6 linked regions of the Macaca mulatta genome follow. The protein of the gene in region 1 interacts with the protein of each later gene in a pairwise test. Links are inferred from orthologs where the notes say so. Each region holds a gene or a part of one and is shown on either strand. Other genes may lie near its edges. The genes, in order: LITAF, UBQLN1, HIP1, BAG3, STAM2 and REEP6.

The links.
Region 2: the proteins of LITAF (region 1) and UBQLN1 interact in binary tests that used the Homo sapiens proteins (3 or more experiments, as listed by UniProt). The two-hybrid records come from large-scale screens. The link is inferred for Macaca mulatta from reciprocal best matches to the Homo sapiens genes LITAF and UBQLN1.
Region 3: the proteins of LITAF (region 1) and HIP1 interact in binary tests that used the Homo sapiens proteins (3 or more experiments, as listed by UniProt). The link is inferred for Macaca mulatta from reciprocal best matches to the Homo sapiens genes LITAF and HIP1.
Region 4: the proteins of LITAF (region 1) and BAG3 interact in binary tests that used the Homo sapiens proteins (3 or more experiments, as listed by UniProt). The two-hybrid records come from large-scale screens. The link is inferred for Macaca mulatta from reciprocal best matches to the Homo sapiens genes LITAF and BAG3.
Region 5: the proteins of LITAF (region 1) and STAM2 interact in a two-hybrid assay, tested with the Homo sapiens proteins (4 studies listed by BioGRID and IntAct). The two-hybrid records come from large-scale screens. The link is inferred for Macaca mulatta from reciprocal best matches to the Homo sapiens genes LITAF and STAM2.
Region 6: the proteins of LITAF (region 1) and REEP6 interact in binary tests that used the Homo sapiens proteins (3 or more experiments, as listed by UniProt). The two-hybrid records come from large-scale screens. The link is inferred for Macaca mulatta from reciprocal best matches to the Homo sapiens genes LITAF and REEP6.

Annotation. Positions count from the first base shown.
Region 1 is NC_133425.1:12,701,297-12,705,455, reverse strand, and holds the start of LITAF (lipopolysaccharide-induced tumor necrosis factor-alpha factor), read left to right. Parts: upstream 1-1,359; 5' UTR 1,360-1,364; coding exon 1,365-1,584; intron 1,585-4,159.
Region 2 is NC_133420.1:114,608,009-114,611,508, forward strand, and holds part of UBQLN1 (ubiquilin-1), read right to left. Parts: intron 2,649-3,500; coding exon 2,533-2,648; intron 1-2,532. UniProt on the Homo sapiens protein: Plays an important role in the regulation of different protein degradation mechanisms and pathways including ubiquitin-proteasome system (UPS), autophagy and endoplasmic reticulum-associated protein degradation (ERAD) pathway.
Region 3 is NC_133408.1:50,694,224-50,697,723, reverse strand, and holds part of HIP1 (huntingtin-interacting protein 1), read right to left. Parts: intron 3,083-3,500; exon of another isoform or gene 2,094-3,082; intron 1,616-2,093; coding exon 1,514-1,615; intron 977-1,513; coding exon 833-976; intron 376-832; coding exon 240-375; intron 1-239. UniProt on the Homo sapiens protein: Plays a role in clathrin-mediated endocytosis and trafficking. Involved in regulating AMPA receptor trafficking in the central nervous system in an NMDA-dependent manner. Regulates presynaptic nerve terminal activity.
Region 4 is NC_133414.1:131,769,942-131,773,441, forward strand, and holds part of BAG3 (BAG family molecular chaperone regulator 3), read left to right. Parts: intron 1-1,000; coding exon 1,001-1,402; intron 1,403-3,500. UniProt on the Homo sapiens protein: Co-chaperone and adapter protein that connects different classes of molecular chaperones including heat shock proteins 70 (HSP70s), e.g. HSPA1A/HSP70 or HSPA8/HSC70, and small heat shock proteins (sHSPs), e.g. HSPB8.
Region 5 is NC_133417.1:57,077,680-57,081,179, reverse strand, and holds part of STAM2 (signal transducing adapter molecule 2), read left to right. Parts: intron 1-1,092; coding exon 1,093-1,168; intron 1,169-1,272; coding exon 1,273-1,371; intron 1,372-2,077; coding exon 2,078-2,224; intron 2,225-3,500.
Region 6 is NC_133424.1:2,181,405-2,185,702, reverse strand, and holds the end of REEP6 (receptor expression-enhancing protein 6), read right to left. Parts: intron 2,738-4,298; coding exon 2,644-2,737; intron 2,564-2,643; coding exon 2,425-2,563; intron 1,663-2,424; coding exon 1,494-1,662; intron 1,338-1,493; coding exon of another isoform or gene 1,257-1,337; intron 747-1,256; coding exon 709-746; 3' UTR 501-708; downstream 1-500. UniProt on the Homo sapiens protein: Required for correct function and survival of retinal photoreceptors. Required for retinal development.

The sequences.
Region 1 (4,159 bases):
CTGCCCTGGAGCCTCGTTTCCCATTTCTCCCGAGACAGATTTGAATGGCTCTTCTAAGGCAGCCTGAACCCTGCCCAGTTAGAAAAACAGTCACACAAAGAACAGCACTGTGTCTGCCTCCAGCTGCCCCATGGCTGCTGGAGCACGGAACGTCAGACAGGAGCACACTCTGGGTGCAGGGTGTAATTCTAGGCGAGCAGCAGCTCTGCCAGGGCTGGAGGGAAATCCTTTTTTTGCCCTCACAAAAGAAAATGTGTGCCTGGCTGCTCTGGTGCTCATTTTTCAAAATGGGAACTGCAGTCTATGTGTATTTCCTTCTTAAAAAGCTATAACACACAGGCTGGGCAGAGTGGCTCACACCTTTAATCCCAACACATTGGGAGGCCAAGGCAGGAGGATCACTTGCGCCCAGGAGTTCAAGACCAGCCTAGACATTAAAGTGAGCCTCCCGTCTCTACAAAAAATAAAGACATTAGCTGAGCGCAGGGACGCATGCCTGTAGTCCGTGGGAGGCTGAGGCAGGAAGATCACCTGAGCCTGGGTGGTGGAGGCTGCAGTGAGCTGAGATCGCACCACTGCACTCTAGCCTGAGTGAGATCTTGTCTCAAAAAAAAAAAAAACAAAAAACTATAACACACATACTAAAAAGTATATACATTTTAATTGTACAACTCAGCTTTTTACAGACTGAACATATCGCTGTAACTAGCCCCCAGGTGAAGAACGAGAACAGGACCTGCCCCCTGCAAAGGCCCCCTCGTGCCCCTTTTCAGATTCTTCTTCCTCTCCCAACAGTACAAGAGTAACCGCCCCATGAATTCATTTTGCCTATTTCTGACCTTTATTTAAATAGTATCATGCAGTGTTCATTTTGTGGCATCTGGCCCCTTTGCTATTTGCGATGCGATAGTTTGTGGTTGGTTTTTGAATGCCTTTATCCTTTCCGTTACCTGAAACAGTTAGTGAAAACCACAGTGGTTTAAAAACCAAAAAAAAAAAAAAAAAAAAAGAAGAAGAAACATCAGCTATGGAAGATAGGTCATTGTCCGGTAATGGTTTAAGATATGGAGAAGAAGTAACTCGTATTTGGTTGATGTTTCCACTTGGGATTTTCCAGGTTTTGGTGATTTTTGGTAGAAATTATTTACTTTTTGATTTTTATTTAGGGAATCCATTAAGATAATAATTCTGGGGTCTTGAAGGGACATTAACCCTCTTCCTGGGTTTTGGACAAAGCTGGATTGAAGTCATTTTCTCAGAATTTCTGTTTGCCAGAAAGAAAATTGAAGACTTGGGTGAAAAAGAGAGAGGGAGAGATCAATTGAATTTCTTATCTGTTATGTTCTGTTTCTGTTTTAGGTAAAATGTCGGTTCCAGGACCTTACCAGGCGGCCACTGGGCCTTCCGCAGCGCCATCTGCACCTCCATCCTATGAAGAGACAGTGGCTGTTAACAGTTATTACCCCACGCCTCCAGCTCCCATGCCTGGGCCAACTACGGGGCTTGTGACAGGGCCTGATGGGAAGGGCATGAATCCTCCTTCGTATTTTACCCAGGCAGCGCCCATCCCCAATAACAATCCAAGTACGTGTGGCCTCCTAGGCCTCCCTTACCATTCCTTGACCCTCCACCCTGGGAGTCAGGAGAGTGGGAATCAGGAGAGTGACCGAAGTGACTCTGACAAAGAGTCTAAGTGAAGTGCCAGTATGTTCCAGTTTTACCCCCTTACCTTGAAATTCCACACACAGTCTTTTTTTTTTTTTTTTTTTTTTTTGAGACGGAGTCTCGCTCTGTCGCCCAGGCTGGAGTGCAGTGGCGCAATCTCCGCTCACTGCAAGCTCTGCCGCTTCCCGGGTTCACGCTGTTCTCCTGCCTCAGCCTCCTAGAAGCTGGGACTACAGGCACCCGCCATCACGCCCGGCTAATTTTTTTTGTATTTTTAGTAGAGACGGGGTTTCACCGTGTTCGCCAGGATGGTCTCAATTTCCTGACCTTGTGATCCGCCAGCCTCGGCCTCCCAAAGTGCTGGGATTACAGGCAGGAGCCACCGCGCCCGGCCACACACAGTCTTTTAGATTCCATGTTGGTGAGGCTCATGGCTTTTCTATAATGAAGTATGGTTTAGGATCTTCCCATGATCATCATATACGAATCATTTGGCATGTCTCACGGAGGCACAACCAACTTTCTTCTGAGAATGGGAGTTTGTGTCTTAAGGGCCCCCACCCTTCCTCCTAAGGTCTGATGCAGAACTTCTGCCCTGAGGCCAGGGCTGAGGTAGGAACAGGGAGAAGAAACTGTCCTGAGCAGTGTGTGATTGTGTTTTCATACCAGCTCACCCTCAACGCAAGTTGCTCTTCTGCTTTTGAGCAACCAGATGGTCCCTGGCCTTGGGTGCTTCCTTCTGCCCAAGTGTGCCCTGGTATGTCACTGCTTCAGTATTACAAGCAGTTCTGGAAGAAATCTTTAGCTCAGAGAGGGGACCCGTGAATCAGACCACCTGGGTTCACATAACCTCCTTGTGCCTCAGCTTCCCCATTTGTAAAACAGGTTTCATCCAGTACCTATTTACAAATATCAGTGGGTTGTTAACATGAAAGGAAGTTCTGTGTGCCAAATACAGAGTACTCATTCGATAAAAGTGAATTCTTATTGTTGTGTTCAAGTTATTTTGACCGCTTGAGCTGGATTCTTAGACCATCCTGTGATCCATAGTTTCTTTTTTTTTTTTTTTTTTTTTTTTTTTTGAGACAGTTTCTTACCATGTTGCCCAGGCTGGAGTGCAGTGGTGCAGTCATGGCTCGCTATAACCTGGGCCTCCTGGGCTCAAGTGATCCTCCCACCTCAGTCTCTGGAATAGCTGAGACTACAGGCATACACCACCACACCTGGCTAGTTTTTAAATTTTTGTAGAAATGGGATCTCACTGTGTTACCAGGCTGATCTTTAACTCCTGAGCTTAAACGATCTTCCCACCTCCCTTGGCCTCCCAAAGTGTCAGAATTATCAGCATGAGCCACAGAGCCTGGCCCAAATAACTTATTTTTGAACCCTAAAAACACTTAATAAAATGTATGAACTGGGTGTGGTGGCTTGTGCCTGTAATCCTAGCTACGGAGGCAGGAGGATCACCTGAGGCCAGGAGTTCCAGATCAGCCTGAGTGACATAGTGAGACATTGTCTCTATGAAAATAAAATTAGTCGAGTGTGATGGCTTGCACCTGTAGTCCCAGCTACTTGAGAGGCAGAGGTGGGAGGATTGCTTGAGCCCAGGAGGTTGATGTTCCAGTGAGCTATGATTATACCCCTGCACTCCAGCCTGGGCAACAGAACAAGACTCTGGCCCCTCCTCAAAAAAAAAATTTCACGTAAGTGCTCAAGTATGATTCAATACTACTTTTCTGGAAGGAGGGTCTTATCTGTGAGTATTACTAAGTTCAGTTAACTCTAGGTAGTAATATTCTCCTAATCCATTTGTTACATAAATGGCATTCTAACAACGTAAAAAGGAAGAGAAGGAAGTTGCTTTGACAAAAATATGAGCTTAACAACTGAAGTGCTTAATGATTGTCATCACCCTGGATTCTCTTTTTTTTTTTTGAGATAGAGTTTGTTCTGTTGCCCAAGCTGGAGTGCAGTGGTGTGATCTCAGCTCACTGCAACCTCTGTCTCCCGGGTTCAAATGATTCTCCTGCCTCAGCCTCCCAAGTAGCTGGGACTACAGGCGCGTGCCACCATGCCTGGCTAATTTTTGTCTTTTGAAACAGGGTTTCACCATGTTGGCCAGGCTGGTCTCCTGACCTCTGGTGATTCACCCGCCTCAGCCTCCGAAAGCCAAGGGATTTGCTGGGATTACAGGTGTGAGCCACTGCACCCGGAATGGATTCTCTTCTGATTCTTGTGAATGTTCAAACATGGTTTCACATAGCTTTTTCTTCCGAGCATTATTTCATATTTTCATTTCTTGTGTCAACACAGTTCACGAGCTTATTGTCTTATAGAGTAGACCTGCATTTCCTGGCTAGGTAAACTCTACCCTTATCATTGGGTGTCAGAGTTTATCAAAGGGTCTGGGTAAAAAGAGTGGATTGTTTATCAAGGGCTGCTAGTCACAGTGTGAGGCTGGTTAAGATTTATTTATTTATTTTTGAGACTGAAT
Region 2 (3,500 bases), on another chromosome or scaffold:
GGGCTGAAGCTTTCAGCCCCACCCACCAAGAAAGTGAGGGAAGGGAGCTGGAGATAGAGCTCTATGCAAATTCTTGAACAATAAGATTAAGAAAACTCAACATGAAAAGCATATCTGAGTGTTAGGAGAGTTGTGCGCTGAGGGGACCTGGAACCTTTGAGCTGAACTTCCATGCCCCACATACCTTGTGCCCTTATAATTCTCTGTCAAGATTTGTCTGTTTCTGAGTTGTATCCTTTATAATAAACAGGTAAACGTATAAGTGTTTTCTTGAGTTCCAGGTGCCATTCTAGCAATTATTGAACCTGAGGAGGAGGTCAGGGGAACCCCCAATTTAGAACTGGTCAGTCAGAAGTACAGGTGGCCTAGAACTTGTGACCAGTATCTGAAGTAGGGGCAGTCTTGTAGGACTAAGTCTGCTAACTTGTGAGATCGGATACTAACTGTAGGTAGGCAGTATCAGAAAAGAAACTGAATCTTGGACACAGAGCTGGTGTTGGACAACTGGCTGGTGTCAGAAAAAAACACTCCAGAATATGCCAGCTAAAGGAAGAAATAATAAATACACACACCAGACTATAGTTCTAATAATCTTTCCAAAAGACTAGTTTAAGTTCTATTAACAGGAAGCAGAATTCACCTATAAACTCTGGGTACAAGAGGGCTGATACTGCCAATCAAGGATACAGAAAGCCAGGGAACACTTGGAAATAGATTTCTCTTTGGAGGACTTAAACCAAGGAGAAACCTAACAGAGCAACAGGATGACCAAATGCTTACTTTGGTAATCACAAAGTGTTTACTTTGTAAAATTACATAACCAACCAAATGCATTCATTCCTCACTTACTAAGCACTTTTTATATATGCCAGAGACTGTGCTACACATGTATTGAGAATAAGGCAAAGAGAAAGACATTCTCAGAACTCAATCTAGTGGGAAAGACAGACAAGAAAATAAATGGCTACACAGATGTTAAGTACTTCAGTAAAGAATATTCACAGGATATTATGGTAATATAACCTAAGTGGAATGCCTACTTTCAGAAGAAGAGACAACACTTAATGAGTCTGGAGCATAAATACTTTGCAAGGAAACGTAAAGAAGGTTAGGAGGGGGACTGAATACTAGGCACAATGAACACCATATACAAAAAGCACAGAGATAAATGTATTAATGCATTCTTGAAACCACAAAAACTTCAGTATGACTAACTACAGTAGCAGATTGCAGTGCTCACCAAACATTTCATTTTTGCAGCCTTATTATTTCTTTTGCACTTGGACAGGCCTATGTGAAATGCCAAAGGACTACAAGAAATGGTATGTGCCACTTCTGGTCAAAGTATAGCAGGTTCAACTTAAAACCCTTTAGCTGTCTCTTCTGCCATGTTCCAAACGGTAGAGCTATAATACAGCAGAATGAAAAACGACTTTCATTACCTTGAGTCTCTGAGGGACTATATGGACGGGCACCTTACAAACCGGTAAAAAGCAAGTAGCATGCAGAAAAATGTAGCAAGAAATGAAGCTTTGTTGTAATAAGCCACTGAGTTTGGCTATCTATTATCAAAAGATAATGGATAACAGCACTTCGGGGGATCACAAGGTCACGAGATCTACACCATCTGGGCTAACACAGTGAAACCCTATCTCTACTAAAAATGCAAACAAATTAGCCGGGCGTGGTGGCACACTCCTGTAATCCCAGCTACTCAGGAGGCTGAGGCAGGAGAATCGCTTGAACCCGGGAGGTGGAGGTTGCAGTGAGCCCAGATCACGCCACTGCACTCCAGCCTGGGCAACAGAGCAAGACTCTGTCTCAAAAAAAAAAAAAAAAAAAAAAATCTTCCACAGAACCTCAATATATAAATCTAATACAGGCCAGGCACAGTGGTTCACATCTGTAACCCCAGCATTTTGGGACGCCAAGGCAGGACGCCGTAAGCCAGGAGTCTGCAGCTGCAGTGAGCTATGATGGCACCACTGCACTCTAGCCTCAGTGACTGAGCAAGATCCTGCCTCTCTTAAAAAATAAAACAAAACTAATATAATAAAAGCAAAAGCAGTTTTAGGCTAGGCTGGCTTCCCAGACCCCTTTCCATGTGTTCAGGACAGTTACAAAATAACTAATGCAGTCTGATTCTTTCCTTTTACTGATGAAAAAATTATGATCCAGGGACGCTGGCTTATGATTAATAACCAGCTAACAGAGCGAGATTCCGTCTCAAAAAAATAAATAAATAAATAACCAGCTAATCTTACTCATACTAAATTATGTGGTAGTCAGATCAGGTACACACACACTACATCTCTTTCATTACTAAAAAGAAAGGCACCAACTGATATGTAAGAATATCCATATCCCTACCTATTTCCTTAATATCTACAATTATAGGAATATATAAGTTTTTTTTTTAATTTTTGTTGTTAAAGTGACATAACGTTTTCTTTTCTCATTTTATCTGAAGCTACCCAGGAAGGGAAAGGAGTATTTTTTCCCATCCCTATGGAGATGACTAAAGACACTTACCTAAACCAAAAGGGTTGCTAGTAGCAGAACCAGATGTGGAGTTACTATTAGGAGTTGATGATGTGGTAACATTGCTTCCAGCGGTATTTGTTTGCTGAGCTGAATGATCCTGAGGCCTAGGGAAAATAATTAATCACAGAGTAAGCAGTAGAGCTGATTATTTTTGAAAGAACCACTGAAATCCTGACATCTAGAAATAAAGAGTAAACTCTCAGATGAAATCAAATTATCATTTAATAAAAAGCCTGAGAAAACTAAGCGTTAGGAACAAAAAGTACAAAATAAAATAAAATCCTGCAAAATACAAAATATGCTGCAATTGCCCCTCCTCTCTGAGTATAACGTACATAAATATTTCATTAGTTTTAATCATATTGCTTATGTAACAGAGGGAGATAGATTATTTCATAAGAGGGAAGTCAGTAACCAGTTACACCCACAAAGTTTGACTATATAAAAAACTTCTTTATCTTGGCCAGGTGTGGTGGCTCACGCCTGTAATCCCAGCACTTTGGGAGGCCGAGGCAGGTGGATCGCCTGAGGTCAGGAGTTCAAGACCAGTCTGGCCAACATGGTAAAACCCTGTATCTACTAAAAATACAAAAATTAGCCAGGAGTGGTGGTGCATGCCTGTAATCCCAGCTACTCAGGAGGCTGAGGAAGGAGGATTGCTTGAACCTAGGAGGTGGAGGTTGTAGTGAGCCAAGATTGTACCACTGCACTCCAACCTGGGCGACAGAGTGAGACTCTTTAAAAACAAACAAACAAAAAAACCCACAACTTTTTTATCTATCCCCTTCTAGTTTTTGAGGGTTATGAGCCAGTTTTACTAAGGCCCCTGAAATTCTTGAAAACAATAAAAAGTGAGAGTTCACCAAAAGAAAGTCAATCAATATGATTAATAATTATTACCTTTTTTTTTTTTTTTTTAAAGACAGAGTCTTGCTCTGTCACCCAGGCTGGAGGTG
Region 3 (3,500 bases), on another chromosome or scaffold:
GTAAGACCCTATCTCAAAAAGAAAAAAAAAAAAAAAAAAGAAAATACTAGTGTACAGGTTCTAATGCACAGAGTTTCCAAATGTAACTGATCTAGGATGGGGCCTGGGCACCCGTAAGCTAATGCTGACATGCTGTGGGGCTGAGAGCCCCTGAGCTAAGTCTCACATGAGATTCACCATCAATAGAGGGTCAGGCTGTAAGCACCTGGCCCCTGCCAGCCGGGCAGTTGCAAGTGTACCTGCAGACCCAGCGCAGCTGATGAGAGGAGGTTCTTCAAGCTGGTTCAGGGCGTCTTGTATCACCTGCTCCGCAGCCTTCCTGGACCCCACCAGAAGCATTTTTCGTTGGTCTTTGGCAAGCTGGCACATAGATTCCTAAAAACGGTCCAGGGAGGTGAGAGTCTGCCCTAGACTCCATCATGAACCTGAGCAGCATGACCTGGCTGGGGCTCCTAGCATCTCAGCTCAAGTCATGGCCAATGAGGTCCAAGCCAGTAAGCCTGAGACAGAGAAAGGCGCTTTAGCTGTGTGCACGGGGTGTGTGGCCGCCCACGGAGGCTGTGCGGAGGGATCACTGCACCCCGTTCTCATGGCTGGGAGGGAATGCCAAACTTCCCTTCTGATACAAAAAAGACAGCACTCTGCTTTCCCTCATGCGCTCTGCAGGCAGTGCAGGGCCTGCTGGCATCACACCTACAGAATGTCTGCACAATTGGGCCAAGGCCCCAAACTCCTTCTCAGCAGCCCTGGGGTCCTCCTGGCCTCCGTGCATGCGCAGAGGCCCTCAGTGGGAGTTCACAGGCGCTTGCTTGTGTCTGTGTCTGTGACTTGCCTCTGTGCTGGCCAGTTTGAGCTGAGTGTCCTGCAGTTCTCTCCGAAGAGCGGATAATTCCTCGTCTCTATGAGCTGCGCCGCTCACCAGGCTGTCCCGCTCCTTCTCTAGCTCGGCGATCTGGGCTGCCCAGTTTGCTTCTGACTGCAAAGGTGACCACAAGGAAAGAGGGAGACACTGGTTGAGTTAAACAGTCCCTATTTCTCAGAGGTCCAACCCATCACCTGGCTACAAGGACTGGGAAAGTGATAGCTCTTTAATCTGCCACTCTGATTCCCTCTCGCACTGATTATAGCTGGGGCCGACTTGGCAGGTTAAGGATGGTGGATGACAGCAATGCCAAAGCCAGGGGTGGGGCAAGAAAGGAGGCCGGGCGTGGAGGCTCATGCCTGTAGTCCCAGCACTTTAGGAGGCCGAGGTGAGAGGATCACTTGAGCCCTGGAGTTTGAGACCAGCCTGGGCAACATAGTGAAACCTTGTTTTTACCAAAGAAATACAAAAATTATCTGGGCGTAGTGGCTTGTGCCTGTAGTCTCAGTTACTTCGGGGGAGCTAAGTGGGGAGAATCACCTGAGCCCAGGGAGGTGGAGGCTGCAGCGAGCTGAGATCACACTACTGCATTCCAGCCTGGGTGACAGAAGAAGACCCCATCTCAATAAAAAAGAGAAAGGCGGTATTTACCTGGGCAGAAGTTTCCAGGCTGCCTTGGAGAACCTGAAGCTCCCGTTGGCTTGTGGCGAGTTCTTGCTTCAAGCTCTCTAGAACTTCCAGCTGTTCTTGAGTCTGAAAGAGAAGAAAAACAGAGGGACTCTGATCTGGGTGGTAGTGACAAAGAATATAAAAACGTAAACATGTCCCAAGCGATCAATAAGAGATCTGTAAACTCTACTGTATGTAAGTTACACCACCCAAAAAAGTGCAGGGTGTGGGAGGAGGAGGCGAGACCCCAGAGTGTACTGAAAATGTGGAATGTCAAGGAAGGAATTTTTATTATTTATTTATTTATTTATTTATTTATTTATTTATTTTTGAGACAGAGTCTCACTCTTGTCGCCCAGGCTGGAGTGCAGTGGTGCAATCTCGGCTCACTGCAACGTTTACCTCCCAGGTTCAAGCAATTCCCATGCCTCACACTCCCGAGTAGCTGGGACTACAGGCGCCCGCCACCCTGCCTGGCTAATCTTTATATTTTTGGTAGAGACGGGGTTTCACCATGTTGGCTAGGCTGGTCTCGAACCCCTGACCTCAGGCGATCCTCCAGCCTTGGCTTCCCAAGGTGCTTGGATTACAAGTGTGAGCCACTGTGCCTGGCCTCCAGGAAGGAATTTTAGAAACATTTCCCAAATGTCATGCTTAAGTCCATAATACTAAAGGCAAACTGGGTCTTAAATTCAGGCATCCCAACAGCTGGTATATGGCTGAACTACAGCACCTCGCCATTCCCAGATGACTCTCTTTCTTTGATTTCTTGATGGTGTTTGTCAAAGGGTGGGTTGTGACTCCTTAGTAAGAATTCACAGCTAACATTTAAAAAAATGGATTAAATAGAACAGAAAATAGCCAAATGAATTCACGTAGTAAGGATAAGTATTGCTTGGTGAAACTTACTTGTATTTCCATGAGATAGATGTAGTTTTTTATGTGGGGTCACAGAAAAGTGTGAAAGTCACTCCTCTAAATCTAGGACATTTGGTTTGATCTGTCCCATATCTCTAACTCCACCTCTAAGCCTCCAATCTGCCTGTCGGTCCTGCCCCAACACAGTGGTGTTCTCTGTTTTTTTTTGAGATGGAGTCCCGCTCTGTTGTCCAGGATGGAGCACAGTGACATGATCTCAGCTCATGCAACCTCCGCCTCCTGGGTTCAAGCAATTCTCCTGCCTCAGACTCTCAAGTAGCTGGACTACAGCCATGAGCCACCATGCCCGGCTGATTTTCTTGTATTTTTAGTAAAGATGGGGTTTCACCATGTTGGTCAGGCTGGTCTTGAACTCCCGACCTGAGGTGATCTGCCCGCCTCAGCCTCCCAAAGTGCTGGGATTACAGGTGTGAACCATTGTGCCTGCCTCTTTTTTTTTTTTTTTTTTCTAATAGAGACAGGTCTCACTCTATCGCCCAGGCTGGGGTGCAGAGGGGCAATCATAGCTCACTGCAGCCTCAATCTCAAACTGGGCTCAAGCAATTTTCCCACCTCAGCTTCCCAAGTAGCTAGGATTGCAGGCATAGATGCTACTACACCTGGCTAATTTTTACTTTTTTTTTTTTGTCTTGCTCTGTTGCCCAGGCTGAAGTGCAGTGGCACGATCACAGCTCACTACAGTGTCAAACTCCTGGGCTCAAGCAATCCTCCTGCATTGGCATCCCAAGTAGTTGGAACTACAGGCATGCATTACCATGCCCAGCTAATTTCTTAATTTTTTTTTTTTTTTTTAGATGGAGTCTTACTGTCACCAGGCTGGAGTGCAGTGGCATGATCTCTGCTCACTGCAACCTCTGCCGCCTGGGTTCAAGTGATTCTCCTGCCTCAGCCTCCCAAGTAGCTGAGACTACAGGCGCCCGCTACCATGCCCGGCTACTTTTGTGTATTTTTAGTAGAGACGGGGTTTCACCATGTTGGCCAGGAGAGTCTCGATCTCTTGACCTCATGATCCACCCGCCTCGGCCTCCCA
Region 4 (3,500 bases), on another chromosome or scaffold:
AATGAGGACAACACATCCCCTGTATGAGCGCTTCCTGTGTGCTGGCCTGGGGCTGAGGCACATGCCCAGGTGACTGACGTCATCTTCAGAGCAGCCCGGTGAGGGAGGGGGTGCTCTTCCTATATTTTGTTTTTTTGTTTGTTTGTTTTTGTTTTGAGACGGAGTCTCGCTCTGTTGCCCAGGCTGGAGTGCAGTGGCACGATCTCGACTCACTGCAAATTCCATCTCCCAGGTTCAGCCATTCTCCTGCCTCAGCCTCCCAAGTAGCTGGGACGACAGACGTGCACTACCACCCCCGGCTAATTTTTTGTATTTTTAGTAGAGATGAGATTTCACTGTGTTAGGCAGGATGGTCTTTATCTCCTGACCTTGTGATCCTCCCACCTCGGCCTCCCAAAGTGCTGGGATTACAGGCGTGAGCCACTGCGCCCAGCCCACTCTTCCTATATTTTGAATGAAGCTTAGAAAATGATTGAATTACTAGGAATTTGAACCTAGGCCCCTTGACTCCAAAGCCTTCAGTCTTTGTTTTGTGTGTGTGGTTTTTTTTTTTTTGAAATGGAGTCTCTCTGTCGCCCAGACTGGAGTGCAGTGGTGCGATCTCAGCTCACTGCAACCTCTGCCTCCTGGGTTCAAGCAATTCTCCTGCCTCAGCCTCCTGAGTAGCTGGGACTACAGGTGCCCACCACCACGCCCGGCTAATTTTTGTATTTTTAGTAGAGATGGGGTTTCACCATGTTGACCAGGCTGGTCTTGAACTCCTGATCTCGGTTGTCTGCTCACCTAGGCCTCCCAAAGTGCTGGGATTACAGGCGCGAGCCATCGCGCCCAGCCCCAAAGCTCCCAGTCTTAACCCCACACTTTGAAAATTGAAAATTACAGATAGGAGGTCTTACGATATGGATTGCCCTGAGGAGGTGCACAGCAGAAGGCATGGTCAGGATGCCACGGCAGGGGGTTCATTCGTGGGGTCATGCCCTCTACCCTGTGTCTCTTGCAGCGGTCCCAGTCTCCAGCTGCCTCCGACTGCTCATCCTCATCCTCTTCGGCTAGCCTGCCTTCCTCCGGCAGGAGCAGCCTGGGCAGTCACCAGCTCCCACGGGGGTACATCTCCATTCCGGTGATACACGAGCAGAACGTTACCCGGCCAGCAGCCCAGCCCTCCTTCCACCAAGCCCAGAAGACGCACTACCCAGCGCAGCAGGGGGAGTACCAGACCCACCAGCCTGTATACCACAAGATCCAAGGGGATGACTGGGAGCCCCGGCCCCTGCGGGCAGCTTCCCCATTCAGGTCACCTGTCCAGAGTGCATCGAGCCGGGAGGGCTCACCAGCCAGGAGCAGCACGCCACTCCACTCCCCCTCGCCCATCCGTGTGCACACCGTGGTCGACAGGCCTCAGGTACGGGAAGTTAGTCGTCAGCAGACTGGTTATGGTGGTATGTCTCCAGGGCTACAGGAGCTCTGTGGGGTGCCCTGGGTTCCCCCTTTATCCCTGCCTATTTAACATGTGTGTACCTGGAGGGAAGTGAGATTTGAGAAACTGCTAGGTATTAACAGAAATTCAGGACAATTGCTCAGGCCCTCCGCACTCTGCAGCTTATGCTGGGCTGATCATTGTGCATTGCGGCTGACTTAGGGCAGAAGAAACAGCTTGGAAGAACTTACATAGCTGGGACCAGGTTCCTTAGTGCCCACCACACCCTTTCAGGGCTCTTCACACCCCCATCCACACTGCAGCCACAGCCTCATCTTGGGCGTAGGCAGCGCGTCACCTTCCGCTCAGTTACCCACTCCACTCTGCAGGCCCATTCTGCTCATTCCCACCCCTGTGCCTTTGCCCATGCTGAACCCGCTCCCTGAAATGCCTGCACAGTACAGGTTCTCTCCGTCCTCCGAGGGATGAGCCAGTTTTGTCTCCTCCATGAAGCCTACTCATCCTTCTCATCTCATGACTCCTCATATGAGTCCCTTAATGAGAGACTCCCAACTTGTATGAGTTCAACATGTGATTATTCTGGGTATTTCAGAAGTGTTCATTTTATCTCTTTAGCTTAGGGCTGAGCCTGACCACAGGGCCCATGTCTTAACGCCCCTCCTCCCTGTGTAATCAGGTACCATGTGGTCTGGCTGAGGCATCCGCCAGCTATGGTGGATTGGAAGCCGTGCTGGCCTGGGGAAGGTTGTAGGCAGGGGTCTGGTTATCTTCCAGTGGAGACACGAGGTGCAGGTTCCTGGAAGAGGATGTCATTTAGTGTGAGCAGCTTGCAGCCTAGCAGCAGAACAGTCAGCAGCCCTGGGCCCCCTGTGGCTGCAACTCCAGCAGCTGAATGCTACAGTTTTTAAAGAGGAAAACTCCTTGTGAACAAACATGGGTTATTCTTTTATTACAAATGGTCACACTGGCCAGGGCGCTGGAATAGAGCACCCTCCTCTTAAAAATTTTTTTTATTTGGAAATAATTTCAACCTGATAGAAGAGTTGTGTGAATCATACAGAGTCCCACATACACTTCATCCAGTTCACTGTTTGTCAACATGTCTGCATTCGTCTTGTCATTTCTTCTCTCTCTCGTATTAGTGATGTGTTTTAACTGTTTGAAAATTATTTGTAGATGTAATGTCCCTTTTCCCCTGAATAGCAAATATTTTCCTAAGAGGAAGACATTCTCATTCATAACCGTGGCAGACTTACAAGATTCAGGAAATTTAACATTCTTACAACATTATTATCCAGTGCACAGCCCATTTTCTAATCTTTTTTATAGCAGTTTGTCCCCACTTCCAGGATGTCTTCCAGGATTGAAACAAGGATCATGAGCACTGCATTTAGACGCAACTTCTCTTTAGTCTTCCCTCAGTCTGGGACAGTTCCTCGGCCTTTCTTGACTTTCACAGCCTTGATGTTTTTGAAAAGCACAGGCCGTGGAACACCCTCTCTAAAGTGTTTCTAAAGTCACTTCTTACACAGCCGTCTTGTTGTCAGAACCTGGGAGGGGTGCGTGGTTGGGTTGTGAGTGGTAAGGGCCAAAGCTGAGGATGTCTGGATTGGCGAAAGAGATTTGATGGAAAAGGAGGTTGCTGGGGTGTAGACAGCTACGTCTCACACCAGATCCATACTCGGATTCAGCAATCCTAGGAGGGGCCCATTTGTAGAGAGAGGGATATTTTATCCAAATCATTCCCATGTATTTCTCATAATCAGTGAAACACTATCTCATCCTGTTTTTACCCCCATTAACCATGTTTGTGGTAACTTCCCTTTTAGAGCTGATGCAAAGTTCCCTTTCGGGAGGCTTTCCAGGATTTCACCTCACTGAACATTATAGTGGAATTGAGTGTTGTAAACTGGGAATAGTTTAGAAATAATATAGTCTAGTTATTTCCCAGTTGATGAAATTAGGGTGAGATTTTAAAAAAGGTTTTAGATATTCACTTACATGAATAAGAGCCAAGATAAGGCCAAGCGCAGTGGCTCACACCTGTAATCCTAGCACTTTG
Region 5 (3,500 bases), on another chromosome or scaffold:
GTACTTTTGGGACATAAAAGTTAAAAAAGCCCAGTTGCTGGATTTATGGGATTAACTTCATCCTGAAGGAACAAATGAAAAAGAGTTCAACTGAAAATCTGCTTTAGTCACACACGTGATGAAAGCCTTGACACAATAGGGATACATGATAACAATGTTTAGGTGAGTTATTTAAGGAATTCCTGTAGGAGTTCTATATGTATGGGAACTTTTAAATAATGAAGTAGATAACACAATAGATAATATAACAAAAAAGTCTTTGAGTCATATACATATAAATATAATAGGCTAACAAATGAAAAAAGTGAATATAAAAAGTGCTTTTGGGGAGGTGTGGCAATTAGCTGAACTATATGTTAGAAATTTAGAAGAGTGATGAAAGCATTTGTTTTAACATGAAAACTTTTCATAGTACATTCACATGTTTATACTTTACATATCATGTTAGATTTTTTTCAGAATAAGATTTTGCTGTCTGAAAGCTAAATCTGTCTTGAAGAAATGGAAAGATCTGGTATACGTCTCTTGTTTGTTGACAGACTGTGAAGTGGTTTGTCTCTTGATTTTGGAATACACAACATTTGCAACATACTTTTTTTTAAAAGTTCTATGAGCCTATAAACAAAATATTGTGTACAATCATTTTATAGATTTATTCCTTTAATAACATGAAATTTCCAGGATTTTAGTTTAATTTATTTTTATTTTATACTTACTTTATTTTATTTTGAGTCAGAGTCTCTCTCTGTCATCCAGGCTGGAGTACGGTGGCATGACACAGCTCACTGCAGCCTCCTGGGCTCAAACAATCCGCTTGCCTCAGCCTCCTGAGTAGCTAGGAGTACAGACACACGCCACCATGCCCAGCTAATTTTAAAATTTTTTATAGAGATGAGTTCTTACTTTGTTGTCCAGGCTGGTCTCAAATTCCTGGGCTCAAGTGATCCTCCTGCCTTGGCTTCCCAAAGTGTTGGAATTACAGGCCTGAGCCGTTAAATATAAAAGTATTTGGTTATAGAATAATACCTTAATGTTTGAATTACATTTATCAATAAATACTTAACTGTCTGTCTCTTTTTTTTTTTTTTTTAGAGCGAAAGATTGCCTAAAAGCCATAATGAAAAGGGTAAATCATAAGGTTCCACATGTTGCTCTTCAGGCACTAACCGTGAGTACAAGTCGTGTTATTATTTGACGCAAATTTTAAATGTTTTTAATTACAGTAAGTTAATATTTTAACATTTGTATATTAATTTTTATTTCAATTAATAGCTTCTTGGGGCTTGTGTGGCAAACTGTGGAAAGATATTTCATTTAGAAGTATGTTCCCGTGATTTTGCAACAGAAGTACGTGCTGTGATTAAAAATAAGGTAAATTTTAAAAACAGAAGAAATTTAAGTCATTAAAAAATACATAGATTGTGTGTTGTTATAACTATATGTGGTATTACTAAAGTGTTATAAATGAAGTCATTTTTAGATACATTGAAATGAAATAAACTGTTCTGATATTTGATTTTTTAATTTGTAGCACCAAAAACTCTTCTCCCCAAAGTATATATACTGTAGATAATAGCAAATCCTTTTTGAGGGCCAGTAAGTAGTCATTGCTTTAAGCATTTTACATATACTGTCTTGTTGAATGCTCTTAACTACCCTTGGAGCATTAGATTCTTGGAAATTAGATTCACTTATCATTCTTATTTTATAAATGCAAAAACTGAGACTTAGAAGTAACTTGTCCAAGGTCATGCAGCTAGTAAGTGGAAGAGCCAAGATTTACATCCAAGTTTCTCTGGTTCCATTCTCCAAAACATGGAGGAAATAATCTCTGAATATAAAAGATTTGTTGTCATTATAATAAGACTTAGGAATTGGTGTTAAAAACAGTCATTTTGTATGAAATAGCATGTAAATAGGCATCTATCAATTACTCAACTAGGCTAGAAATTGCTGGACTTTTGTAGATGTTCATATAATTACAGAGAATTTTGATGGTAGTTCTCCTTGTTAAATAATTTAAGTACTTATTTTAACCATAGATTTGTGTTCATTTCCCTTTCCTTTTCCTTAAAAGGCACATCCTAAAGTATGTGAAAAACTGAAATCTTTAATGGTGGAGTGGTCAGAAGAATTTCAGAAGGACCCTCAGTTTAGTCTAATATCTGCAACTATTAAATCTATGAAAGAGGAAGGAATTACTTTTCCTCCAGCAGGTTCTCAGGTGAGAGATTCATTCAGACCCATGGTTGACCCTGTAATAGTTTGAAGGTATGTATATTATGTAAAGACTAGGCAAGGTATGTCTAGATTATCATTTTCCACCTCTACTTCCCAAATGACTCTCTAGCATAGTGCCTTCCTTACATTTAGTAGACATATTAGTTTTTGTGTATTTCTTCCACATATCAGAACCTTGAGAAGTTAATCAGACAAAAATAGTATATTTAATGTTTCTCTAAGTCTGCAGTCATGAAAAAGGCATAGTTGTATGACATAGCCCTTATAGTCAAGAAATTTGTAGCAAATTTGAACGATAGCTTTATACATGTGAAAAATAACTAATTTAGATTGTAAGTGACAAACATAGGATGAGGGGAATAGACTGTATGCTATCTGTCTCAATACTAAAGAGAGAAAGAAGTGACTACCGATTGGAATGGTGAAGAAGGTAAAGAGTTAGAATTTTGAAACTTGAATGTATTACTATTTTGTTAGAAGTGAAGAAGTCACACCAGGAGATAAGTGAAATCAACAAATTCATGGAATTGAGAGGCTCAAGACTTGTTTGTTGAAGAGTGAAAATGCCTAGAGTGAATGCTTTACATATAAGATAGATGGAAATGTAAGACTAGAAATTTATTTGCTGGGAGAGGGGATAGCTTTAGTAGAACCGGGGTGTGGAGGCAGGGATGTTGACTCATGGAGTGGGCTGTTTTTTTGTTTTTTTAGATCTAGGGGAGGAAAATACTATTCCTTGGGTTTTGCTCTCGGTACCTTATTCCCTGCCATTAATATTAGGATATGGGCTAGGGAAAGAGACTATGAGAAGTACTATATTTTTTCTTTTAGATCATAGATTAAGGAGAAAAAAAGATGCTTTTTTTTTTGGAGGCGGAGTTTCGCTCTTGTTGTCCAGGCCGGAGTGCAGTGGCGCAACCTCGGCTCACTGCAATCTCTGTCTCCTGGGTTCAAGCAATTTTCCTGCCTCTGCCTCTAGAATAGCTGGGATTACAGGTGCCTCCTACCACCAGGCCCGGCTAATTTTTTGTATTTTTAGTAGAGATGGGGTTTCACCATGTTGGCCAGGCTGGTCTCGAACTTCTGGCCTCAGGTGATCCACCTGCCTCGACCTCCCAAAGTGCTGGGATTACAGGCATGAGCCACACCAACTGAAAAAAGATTATAACTGACCAGACCTAAGAGTACAAGGTAGAGTTTTGAGACAAAAGTCTTGTAAATAATAAAAAGGAAACATTTTCCTGTTCTGTCCTTTCTGC
Region 6 (4,298 bases), on another chromosome or scaffold:
GCGCAGGTCTGGTCCGGGTTAGCTTTATTGGAGCCTCCTAGCAGGCCAGGTGTTTCAGGCACCAGTAGTGCTGCAGGCACGGGGGCCTGTGGTGTGGCCAGCTGCAGGTGATCTCAGTGGTGGACTCCGAAGTGTACTCCAGAGAGGTCCCGGAGTGGCAGGGGACCAGCTCGGGCACTGAGGTGCTGCTGGCAAGCTGTTTCGAGGATTGCTTCTGGCGCTGTCCGCTGGTCTTGGGGGCTGTGTCCTCTGGCTCGCCAGGGGGCTTGCTGGGAGGCTGCGTGGGGACGTTGCTGCTGCTGGGAGACTGGACCATGGGTGAGACCGGGCTGGAGGTGACGTTGGGTGGCTGCAGGGGCCTCGAGGATGGGAGGGCTGACTGGGAGGGGCCGGAGGAAGTACCAGGCAGCTGGGTGCATTGCTGAGACCGCTGGGAGCTGACCCGTGCCCGACGCTGGCCCTGGGCCTTGCCACGGCCAGAGCTGGAGGGCAGCTGGCCCTGGGATTCAGAGCTGGGGGTGGCCGAGGACTGGGACTGGGACTTGCCCGAGGTGGCATTTAAGGAGACCCCCAGGGCCTTGCCTGGACCCGAGGGACTGGCGTGGGCTGCCGTCGAGAGATGCGCTGAAGACGATGTGGAGGCCTGGGAGCCCGGTGCGGCCCCCTCCTCACCAGCCGGGAGGTCCTTGCGAGGCCCGGGGGGCTGCTTCACTTGTCCTTCGGCTGCAGGGTCTGGCTTGGCTTGACTGCAGAGAGAGGGGCAGGCGGGGGAGGGCGGTGAGGCAGGCCTGGGCTCCGCTGACTGCTCACAGGTGGGACTGAGGCTACTGGATGTGAGCATGGAAAGTCGAGGGGCCGGGCAGCCACCCTCAGCAGAGATGGTGTCGACCACACGCACGCTTTCATGGTCACCTATACATAGAGGGGTGCACACAGAGCACGCACATGTGCAGTCACACACACGCTCACACACATACATGCACACGTGGTCACACGCACACACACATGCATGCACACACACGTGCACATACACCTGTACACGTGGTCACACACACATGCACACGTGAGAAACCATGCTCCCTTGCTCACTTATACACACATGGAAACACCAAACATACGCTTGAGCCATGCACACACACACCGTCATGCACATGACAAAACATGCACGCACAATAACACATGTGCAACAGCAAACATACACTCAAACACATGCGCACACACACACACAGCTCCTACCTCCCCCACGGGTTACGTACTGTCAGCTTCCAGGGGAGTGGAGGGCCCGGCCACAGCCGCTGGAGTGACGCCTGCCCGGCTACGGGCCAGCGCCTGCAAGACTGGTTCCCGGAAGCGTGAGAGAGAGAGGCGGACAGTGAGAGGGGGCGGCCAAGATGCCAGACAGTGGGCAGTCAAAGTCAGAAAGGGAGGCAAGGTGGAGACAGGTGGAGACCCAGGAGACGGTCAGAGGCAGCCGGGCGCCTGCAAGCACCCACCGTTCCTGGTTATTCCGGCCGCCGCGTCCAGGGCTCGCCCGCTGAGGTTGTTGACGATTCTGTCCACGGCCCCGTGGTGCCTTAGGAACAGCGGGCGCACGACGCGCTGATACAGCATGAGAGCCCCGTTCCAGGGCCTGGGGGCCATGCAGAACAACAGGAAGGCGCACTGCAGGGCAGGGCAGGAGTTACACACAGCCCCACCCAGCTCTGTGCCCCTGGAGGGGAGAGAGGCTGCACTACCCCACCACATGCCCACCCTGGACAGGAACCGGGTCTCCACCATCAGACACCCTTTGGGGGGGCCCTCCACCATCAGACATCCTATTGGGATGGGCCTGGGTTTTCGCCATCAGACACCCTTTAGGGTGAGCCCTCTACCATCAGACATCCTGTAGGGTGGACCCTCCACCATCAGACATCCCTTAGGGTGAACCCTCCACCATCAGACATCCTATCGGAGCAGGCTTGGGCCTCCACCATCAGACACCCTTCAGGGTGGGCCCTCCACCATCAGACATCCTTTAGGGTGGGCCCTCCACCATCAGACATCCTGTAGGGTGGGCCCTCCACCATTAGACATCCTTTAGGGTGGGCCCTCCACCATCAGACATCCTTTAGGGTGGGCCCTCCACCATCAGACATCCTGTAGGGTGAACCCTCCACCATCAGACATCCTTTAGGGTGAGTCCTCCACCATCAGACATCCTATTGGAGCAGGCTTGGGTCTCCACCATCAGACACCCTTCAAGGTGGGCCCTCCACCATCAGCCCCCGGACAGGGCCCGTTTCCCCAGGGAAAGGACTGAGTCTTCCCCTCCCATCTCCCATCTCCTGGTATTCTTTCCTCCGGACCTCCTGGCCCCAATACCTCCCAGGAATCCCCAAGCCCCATGCGCTCCATGGCTGTACCCGCCCTGGCAGGGCCCACCTTGCCCACGTAGTAGAAAGGGAACCAGGACAGGAGTAGATCGCTGAAGAACTCGGCCAGCCCGAACAGGGCGTACACCACCCAGTAGGTGAGCCACACAGTGTCGTCGTCCTTGCTTGGGCTCTCGATAGCTTTGATTCTGCAGGGAGGCGCAGCAGGGTCAGGGGCTGCCCGGGAGCCCCCAGATCCCCCCACGTGGGCAGCCAGCCGTGCACTCACGAGGCATATGCGGGGTAAACAAATCCGATGAGATTGCACAGCAGAGACGCTCCGTATCCGAACAGCAGATACAGGCTTAGCAGAGTGACGGCTCCTGCGGGAGAGAAGTGGTGGTGTGCTAGGGCCAGGGACCTGCTGAGTCCCCATGACAGCACCCAGGCCTCCTTTCAGTCGACAGAGACTGCAACCTCCTCAGAAGCCTTGGTGATGCCTCTAGGATGTGTCCACTGCCCCCGAAGTGTCTGTGCATCCCCCCATTGTGTCCCTAGGCCCTGAGCCTTGTGCCTGTAACTGGTCAATGTGTCCATGTCCCCCACCATGGTTGAGAGCTCCCCAAGGGCAGGCAGGAGCTTGACACTGGGCAGTGGGGGTGGGTGCAGAATAGCTATCCAATAAAGTGTTTGCTGAGTGAGTAAGTGTAATCTGGCCAGATGTGGTGGCTCACGCCTGTAATCCCAGCACTTTGGGAGGCCGAGGTGGGCGGACCAGGCAGGCAGACCACCTGAGGTCAGGGGTTTGAGACTAGCCTGGCCAACATGGTGAAACCCCATCTCTACTAAAAACACAAAAATTAGCCAGACTTGGTGGCGGGCGCCTGTAATCCCAGCTACTTGAGAGGCTGAGGCGGGAGAATCGCTTGAACCCAGGAAGCGGTGGTTGCAGTGAGCAGAGCTTGAGCCAGTGCACTCCAGCCTGGGTGAGATTCTTTTTCAAAAAAAAAAAAAAAAAAGAATGAGCATAATCTGCAATGATAGGCATCTCGTTCCAGGCCCTATGGGAGGCGCTGGGAAACGAGGCTAATGTTTCAATATAAGGGATGGGTGAAGCCTGCAAGGGAGGCCAGGCTGTCATGAAGACTTGGTTCCAGAGCTGAGAAACGCAACTGTTTCATCCGTTATCTTAGTGCAGGGTTTCTCTGCCTTGGCACTGCTGATGTTCGGGGCTGGGTCATTCTTGGTTGTTTTCGGCGGGGAGGGGAGGTGGCTGTCCTGGACACTGCAGGGTGCTGAGCAGCGTCCCTGGCCTCTGCCCTCTCCATGCCATCAGCTCCCCAGTCATGACGACCACAGATATCCCTAGACATCACCCAGTGTCCCTGGGGCAGGGTGGGGGGCAGTACTACCCCCCCCGTCTTGGAGGCAGCAAACCCCAGCATCTCGGTCCCCCGGGTGGAGGAGAGCCCTTTGGTTGGCTGTGCACTCACCAGCCGGCACTGAGCAAGGCTGTGGCTGCACGGAGCCTCAGTTTCCCCCTTGGTAAGTGGGAATGGTAATGGCCCCTGCCTCTTATGGTTTCAAGTTAACAGAGAGGGCTGGGCACAGTGGTTCATGCCTATAATCCCAGCACTCTGGGAGGTTGAGGTGGGTGGATCGCCTGAGGTCAGGATTTCGAGACCAACCTGACCAACATGGAGAAACCCCATCCCTACTAAAAATACAAAATTAGCCGGGAGTGGTGGCGCATGCCTGTAATCCCAGGTACTCAGGAGGTTGAGGCAGGAGAATTGCTTGAACCCAGGAGGCAGAGGTTGTGATGAGCCGAGAACATGCCATTGCACTCCAGCCTGGGCAACAAGAGCGAAACTCTGTTGCAAAAAAAAAGTAATAACAAGTTAACAGAGAGAACTCCTTTCTGCGCGTTTATTTTTATTCATT